Nothobranchius furzeri: one gene and its partner. The protein of the gene in region 2 purifies or fractionates together with the protein of the main gene of each other region. This does not show direct contact. Links are inferred from orthologs where the notes say so. Each region holds a gene or a part of one and is shown on either strand. Other genes may lie near its edges.

The links.
Region 1: the proteins of ndufaf3 (region 2) and ndufa13 purify together in Homo sapiens (co-immunoprecipitation; 3 studies listed by BioGRID and IntAct, with this or other methods). This does not show direct contact. The link is inferred for Nothobranchius furzeri from reciprocal best matches to the Homo sapiens genes NDUFAF3 and NDUFA13.

What each region holds. Positions count from the first base shown.
Region 1 is NC_091751.1:56,690,070-56,693,828, forward strand, and holds ndufa13 (NADH dehydrogenase [ubiquinone] 1 alpha subcomplex subunit 13), read left to right. Parts: upstream 1-1,410; 5' UTR 1,411-1,620; coding exon 1,621-1,714; intron 1,715-2,287; coding exon 2,288-2,366; intron 2,367-2,453; coding exon 2,454-2,525; intron 2,526-2,616; coding exon 2,617-2,686; intron 2,687-2,917; coding exon 2,918-3,037; 3' UTR 3,038-3,140; downstream 3,141-3,759. UniProt on the Homo sapiens protein: Accessory subunit of the mitochondrial membrane respiratory chain NADH dehydrogenase (Complex I), that is believed not to be involved in catalysis. Complex I functions in the transfer of electrons from NADH to the respiratory chain.
Region 2 is NC_091743.1:68,499,917-68,504,278, reverse strand, and holds the start of ndufaf3 (NADH dehydrogenase [ubiquinone] 1 alpha subcomplex assembly factor 3), read right to left. Parts: upstream 2,913-4,362; 5' UTR 2,846-2,912; coding exon 2,757-2,845; intron 1,313-2,756; coding exon 1,117-1,312; intron 1,011-1,116; coding exon 944-1,010; intron 486-943; coding exon 385-485; intron 315-384; coding exon 213-314; 3' UTR 1-212. Other genes in the region: nckipsd (NCK-interacting protein with SH3 domain), read left to right, coding at 3,513-3,683, 4,179-4,291. UniProt on the Homo sapiens protein: Essential factor for the assembly of mitochondrial NADH:ubiquinone oxidoreductase complex (complex I).

The DNA of each region.
Region 1 (3,759 bases), on a different chromosome or scaffold from region 2:
AGCTCTATAATGCCGCTGAAAAACAGGTTATAGTTTGAGCAAAGTATTTTTGATGCTTTCACAATGTTTATTGAAAATAAAACATCCCTTTATTGCACCAAATACACAAAAATCCTTAAAGTACTCAAAAAAATTTACATTTTAAAAATAAATATTAAAAGACTTGCAGATTTTTACATGGAGTGATAACATGAAAAGAGAAATGTGCAAATGAGATATGACTGGGTGCAAAAAATAACTGCAAATAACAAAAATGTGTGGGGGGCAGACAAAAATTTGAAGTGGTGGTTGTAAATTTTGACGTTCAGTAACAGTCCGTGTACTCATGCAGTCACTTAAGAAACTCTCCAGCTCCACAATGGCTTCATGTATGGGTTGGAGACATTGTCTCAGTGATGTTAGTTTTGCTAGTCCTTCCATCTCTCACCTGCACTGGATCAAGTAGGACATAGCTGACCACCTTAATGAGCTTATCTAATCTCTGTGTCTCAGCAGTAGATAAGGGCTTCCCAACTGCTCCCCCCAACTAACCCCACCAGAAAAGATGGCTGATGCCACCACTGAGTCAAACACCTAGATCACACCGATTGATTTATAAGGAAGCCATACAGAGTCAGGACCGCATCTGTTCCACATTTGGTATGAATGAAACTAAATAAGGTCCTTAGGAGCACTCCCCTGCATTCCAAAGGAGATCTCAGCAGCTAGAGTCAGCTCTGACCCTTTCTGAAAACAGCATCTGCATTATGGCTCCTGTCCATGGTGAATGGTGGAGTCCTCGGATGCTGAGGGGAGGGTGATGGTGAAGGACGGAGTCCTCTGGGCTGATAGGTCAGAGGAGGTTGGGAGATAAACTCGGTTGTGGGAGAGGAATGAGGGGATTGTGAAGGAGTGGCAGAAAAGGTGGGATTATATGAGCAAGGAGAGGCATTTATATAATGTTAAGAAGGAGGTGTTAGGGCATGGGGTGAATAGGGGCAATAGGAGAGAAGAGGTAGTTGTTACCAGGCTCAGATTGGGTCATTGCTCGTTGGACAAAACTCTAAAAATGATAGGTAAACGTGAGACTGGGTTGTGTGGAGTGTGACAGGAGGAGGAAGAGAGGGTAGAGCATGTAATTCTGTGGTGTAAGGGTTATTTTGTGGAAAGGGAATTTCTGCGGAAAAGGATGAGGGAGAGGGGTATTGAGGAATTCACAATGAAGAGCGTGTTGACGAGTTGTAGGGTGCAGATGAGGGATTTGGTGGAGTTTCTTAAGAGTGTAGGGGTTTTTCATGGGGTGTAGATAGGAATAGTTATTTTTGCTGTTGATAAGGAAGGGGAAAGAAATAGGGTGCAAAAGGGGAAAGAAGGAAGGAGGATTAAATGAGAGGGAATGGAGAGTGAAGGTGTAGGTTTTAGATTGTGAGCTCACTGTCTGGTCCATACTCCGGAACAGTTGGAGGCGGTAATGCTCCATTAAGCTGGTTGCCAACCGCTGCTAAACACCAAGTAGAAGAAGAAGGAGGGGCTCCGGCCGTATGGGGGAGCTGTGGAGCACCAGAGTCCGTGTCCCAACAGAAGAAGACTCCGTGGATCAAGCAGGCTGACGTTCGGTTCGTTGGAGGAGGCTGGATAAAGATGTCGGGCTCCAAGGTGAAGCAGGACATGCCTCCTACAGGAGGATATGCCCCCTTTGACTATAAGAGAAACCTACCTAAACGAGGACTTTCGGGTAAATGCGCATTTCCCTCACCTATTTACCTTCACAGACCCACGCAGCGGAGGTGAAATGTTGACCATTCACGTTTGTTGTCGGTGTGGCTAATGCTAGCTGCTCAGCGTCAACATGAAACTGATTATTCCAAGTCAGAATTAAACTACCCGGGGGCTTGAGGCTTGAATTGGTATGTTTACCTCTTAATTAAGAGGTAATTGTCAAATATCCGAGCAAGAAGGAAGTCTGTAAAATACCATAATCGCTCCATGAATCGTTTCTGACATCGAAAGCTAACTGGTGGCTAACACGAACCAGTGTTTAGTTCTCTAGTCATTAGTGTTCGGTCCAGAAGTGAAAATAACTAGTGTTCTTTTTAAGTGACCATTAGAAATAACCATAGGAAAATACCAAAGCTATTGTAAATTCAATACACAGTTGTACAATAATAAATAATATTGTTGTATTAATAAAAACATTTCCTCCTCTATGAATACAAGTTGACCATATTCCGTCTGTAACATCAGACCAACAAGAAGTAGTTATTTGAGCATGTAAAATTTTATACTAATATATTTTACAAATCAACAGGTTATAGCATGTTTGGCATTGGCATCGGTGTCATGCTGGTTGGTTACTGGCGAATGTTCAATTGGAACAGAGAGAGGCGGTAAGAAAATCTCAATTATGTAGCTTTCAGGTTGTATAGTAGTCACATTTGAGCTGATGATAGTGGTATATTTGGTTCGTATCACAGGCGCTTCGAAATGGAGGAACTGGAGACCAGAATAGCATTAATGCCTCTGATGCAGGCAGAGCTTGACCGAAGGTAAAAAACAACTTCATTTATCTGTTTTTTCATATTAATATCAGGAGCAACTAATCAGTTCTTTCATCGTTTTGGGTTTTCATTCTTCTAGTACCTTGAGGATGCTGAGAGAAAACTTAGAGGAGGAGGCGATCCTCATGAAAGATGTTCCAGACTGGAAGGTAAAGTTATTAAAATGCTCAATAAATATAAAGAGTTCCTGTCAGCAGTTTGTTTTACAAAGCCACAAACTATCAGGTTAATTAAACAGCTCTTATTTTTTGTTTATACAATAAAATGTATTTTAGATTGTTTTAATAAGTCGGGCAAATTAACATTTTATTGTGTCTAATTGGAATCCACTGATTTAGTTCTGTGATCTAACTCAAACTGTAATTTTAAAATGAATGCAGGTTGGCGAGAGCGTCTTCCACACGGACCGCTGGGTCACGCCTCTGACAGAAGAGCTCTTCAACCTCCGGCCACGCGAAGAGCTTTTGCACCAGAAATATGGCTTTGCGTGGTACGTGTAATCACAACTGGGGAAAAAAGCCCCTAGCCTCAACTTTTGTGTGAATTTTAGCCTTCGCTCACGTCACCTTGTAAATGTAAAATAAAACAACTTTTTTTCCTGTACCATCTCTGATTTGTCATCAATTTAGCTTATTTAATGTCTGACTCCAGATTATTTAAACCAACTTCGCGCATAGAAACCTTTTAAGTTCATATGTGTATATATAAATAACTCTAGATGGCACATTATTAAAAACTGGTCTGAGTACAGATGGACCCTGTTCCAGAATGATGGTAGAAGAGAGCCAGATGAAATGATGCACCCATCATGCCTAGTGCCTACTGTACAAGCCTGTAGGGGCAGTGCTATGATCTGGGGTTGCTGCAGCTGGTCAGCTCTAGGTTCAGCAACAGGATGTGGTCCAAGAATGAGGTCCGCTGACTACCTGAATATACCGAATGACCAGGTTATTCCATCAATGTTTTCTTCTTTGATGGCAAGGGCATATTCCAAGATGACAATGCCAGGATTCATCAGGCTCAAATGGTTGAGTGGTTCAGGGAGCATGAGACATCATTTTCACACGTGGATTGACCACCACAGAGTCCAGTCCTTAAACCCATTGAGAATCTTTGAGAAGTGCTGGAGAAGGCTTTGTGCAGCAGTCAGACCATCATCAATGCAAGATCTTGGTGAAAAATGAATGCAACACTGGATGGGAATAAAAAGCTCCCTTCCGGT
Region 2 (4,362 bases):
CAAAACATTTCACGCACAAGCAGATTTCTGAACATGCAGCCAACCATTTGTTGCTTTTGAGAAAATATGAAACTAGACTCCAGTCAGTAAGAGACGGCGGCTGCTGCAACAATGTTCGGTAAAGCTGGACACATTTGGAAGCTCCTCTGCCGGCTGACCTTGGAACAAAGTGAGTCTGTCCTGCTTTCACTCTCACAATACCACATTTAGTCTCATTTAATATCCAGAGCTTTGCTCAGAGACGGGGGAATCAGACCAGCGGCGACCAGTCTTCGCTCACTAATCAAAAAGTTGAATGTTGCACATGCGTTCGGCTGCAAAAAAAAGTTTAAATAATAAAAACATTTGTGGTTTGAGAGTCATGAAGGCTGAACAAATATTTACCGTGTCCTGCACCTCCACAGCGATGCCTTTACGCCTCAGTAAGGCAAGAACTAAGGGGTTGATTCGCTCAAGCCGGGCTCCTGTTCCCAGCACAAGAATCTCTTCATAAACCAGAAAGAAACATTAAAAAGTGTTTAAGTTTAAATGATTAGCTACATATAAACACACAGACAGAATAAAGAGTAGAAAATACTAGGAATGGTCACCTAAAGTATACAATTGACGCAAGTTTCTATGAGAAATAGCAGCCTGCAATACTATCATTAAAACATGAAGGGATTAGATTAATGGCTGAATTCCTTTACTTTTCTCACTAGATCACTAGAAGGACCATTTAAATACTTTCTGGGGTCTTCTATAGGAGTTTGCATGTTTTTGTGGTCTAGCAATAATACATCATGGAAGCTGCAGCATCATTCAAGCTACAACCTGTTTTAATTCCTTTCTCTTAAAGATGAAGCAGCTAAAAAACCCAAGTTTGAGGTGATGAAATTGGACCAGTGAAGATTAAAACGGGCCAAACACAAACATCTTTATATCAGTGTGCATTCATTCATACCAATTGTTGGTGCAATCATGTGGAAAAGAGAGACGCTTTCCTCTGTGATGTCTTCGTGACTACCAACCTGCAGAACCAGACAGTTAAAACAAACTCTTGATCAGTTTTTGTAAACAGAATGATGTGATGCGGCACACTAATAGCTGTGTAGAACATCTGGAGATGAACCTCACGTTCCACTGCAGGATGGCAGGAGGCAGCAGAGCACAGGGCCCGAGCACCTGGTTACTATCTACGGTAAATCCTATGGGGCTGTAGCTGTGGATCATGATCCCACTGTCTGCCTCCTTCTTCATGATGGACACCGTGGTTTTCTGGTACAACTCATCATCACCAGGTTCCAATCTGTGAGCGCGAGACAGAAATGGGCTGGAAAAAGAGACAGAAAACTAGATTAGAAACAATAATAAATGGGCTTTATTCTGTTGTTTATTGTCAGTGACTTGATGCAAAGCTTGTTTCTAGACTGAAAAACAAGTAACGGACAATGAATAAATCCAGTGTGTGTATATTCTTCCATAGTTTTAATATTCTTAGAAAGTCAGAGGAATGCAGATCTGCCAAACCACCTACTGATGGGGTCCTCAGCCAAAAGCTTAATTTACACTGTACACATCACATTACACAATCAATGCTTTTTAATTTCAACATTAGCTAAATTAGCCAATTAGTCTGTTAGAATATGTAAACACATTTTATTTTTCATAACATTCAACAAAACTTCCAGTAATTGTTGCGGTGAGATTCTTCTTTACTTTTAAGTAAATTCCTCTCTCACTCTGCTCCTGATTCTTTTGAGGTGAGCCTGAAAAGAGACCTGCACCTTAAGCATCAACATGTACACACACAAGATCTTGGTTGGCCTGAGATGAGATGCACACGAGCAGTAACCTGGTAATGTGTTATGATTTTTCAGTTTCCCCCTCAGCCTTTTAATTTGAAAGTTACACAAGCACACACACATAGGGAGGTCCTGTCAGTGAATTTAAACATCAAATGTCATTCTCTACTGAAAGAAGGGTGTTCCTTCTGCACCTTTACACACTTTAACAGTTTATCATCTTTTCTGATCAGCAATAAAAGGTCAATAGTTCAGTTTTCACCAAATAAGGACACTTTCCCTAACTTGTACTGGAACATTTTAGTTATGTTGTGTCCATCTATCTTCTGCTTCTCATTTACATCTGCTTCAGACATACATTTCCTGTTATTTATTATGAACTTCATCACAAGTTCTGCTCAAGTCTGAACTGTAACTACGGCAACCTACTGGACTCTTGCTGTCTGGAGAGCAGTTTGCATCTATTCTGCAACACTTCTGCAAAGTATCACAAGTCACACTTCCTGTAAAGGAAATCTCATTAACATACACATGTGAGCTATAAAATAGTCATAAGACTTTTGAATAATACTTCCACATTATATATGAAGATTTAATGATTGAGCAACACACTTTAAACTGCGCAATTAGACTGAAAATGATTATACTAACTAAAACTGAAAATTACCCTAGATATAAGTAACCATTTTGAGGCTAACCTTAAGTAAATCTAAGGAAATTGAACCGACGAACATTCATAAAGCATCAATAAAGCGGGAAATTTAAACCTTCAGTGAAATAAAAACACTAAAACACTTTATTAAATACTATAAAATAATGCTATACAACTTTAATAAGGCTAATTATCAAAACAGACATCACCTTTATAACACTTTCAATTCAATATCACACCAACTTTTAACTCTGCAATTGACCTTATTTTCTTTTTTAACTAATAGGATTTCTATACTTTTGTTGAAAAAATTAAATTACCAAGAGAAAGCAGGAATTGTATTGGAAAAGGACAGAAATCCTCGAGTCGACCTCTGGAAAAGCATCCTGCTGCACACCGCAGTGGCCATGTTGACGAGTATAACAGGGGAACGGAATTCTCTGTGACACCATTAAGGCAGCTGCTTCCGGTGCTATGCACAGCACAATCGAACATTTCTTATCTCGCCAACAGTGTGTGTGTGTGTGTGTGTGTGTGTGTGTGTGTGTGTGTGTGTATTTAATACATATATAATTCAACTCTTTCTGAAACAAATAATGTAACATTGAAACATATTTACAAGGATTCAAAATGCTGAAATCCTTTCTGCAAATGTAAGATGGAAGAAAAACTATCTCTATCCCTGCGTGTGTACAACACCGTAACCTTACTTTAATCGTCAAGTAAAATGTTTTTACATTTTACATCATTTAATTGTAACTTCATAAATGTTTCCACTTCAAATGAAAATAAATGTATTACACATTTTTCACAATCAAATTAGATTTTAGCTCTGGGTTTGATTAAACTGTCTGATAGGCGTATTTAGGGTGTATCAGTGCCCCCTGTGGCCTGTTCTGGTAGCGCTCGCTCAGGTCAGATGATCCGAGCTACATTGTAAATAGACATGAGCCGCTCACCGTAGACTTCATGGGCTCTTTAAATCACCCCTGCGGAGCAGATCTTTTCATTCGGTTTTTGTTTCATAACAGGTTATTTCTGTGTCACTTTTCGGTTTGTTACAGATAAACTAAATCATGTATCGGTCTCTGTACGCCTTCCGATCCGTGGAGCCCAACTCACTGCACTTCGCGGCCGGAGAGAGCTTTCTAATCCTGGAGAGAAGCAACAAACACTGGTGGTTGGGGTCCCGCTGTAGCTCCGGGGAGACCGGCTACATCCCTGCTTCTTACATCGAAAAGATTCAGGTAAAACTCACTTTTAACCCCCGTTTTTGCCTATTTAGTGAATAGAGGCGAGGCGTGGAGTGGAACCCTGAGAGTGGTGCTGTCTGCAGCAGGGCAGGCCAAGAGCAAGCTGTCTAGTCAGGTGGAAATCGCATGCATTAATTTATTATAAAGGCTGCAGGTCGAAAAGCTGCTGAGAGGACACAGGGTGGGACAGCAACAGATAACAGAGACAAGAAAGCATTGTTTTCCTCTCCTCGTGGTCACACCCCTGGTTATATCGCAGGAACTAGTCAGAGCTTGTAGGCTGTGTCACAAGAAGAGAGCTCCCTCCTGTACTTGATAACACCGTCTGTGCAGCTTTAATTAAGCCTGAATGTAGGGTGTTGTTAGATCACAGTCCCATTTTTTCCCAGCTTGTCCCAGTTTGACCCAGTCACACACTTAATAATCCTGCATGCTGCCACAGTAATGAATGTTTCATCCCTTCAGCTTCTGTCGATGTGTTTGTGCCAGGCTCCACAGCAAGACGAGGTCCTGCAGTCCATCGATCGAGCCATAGAAGGGATCCACAATGTGGCCTTAAAGAACGGAGGCAAATACAACCTGGAGCAACGAGATGTCCTGCAGTGAGTCCAAGTCAACATCAGAAACATGGTGGGGATTCTGATGGAGGATTTATGAGTACTATTGTTTATGT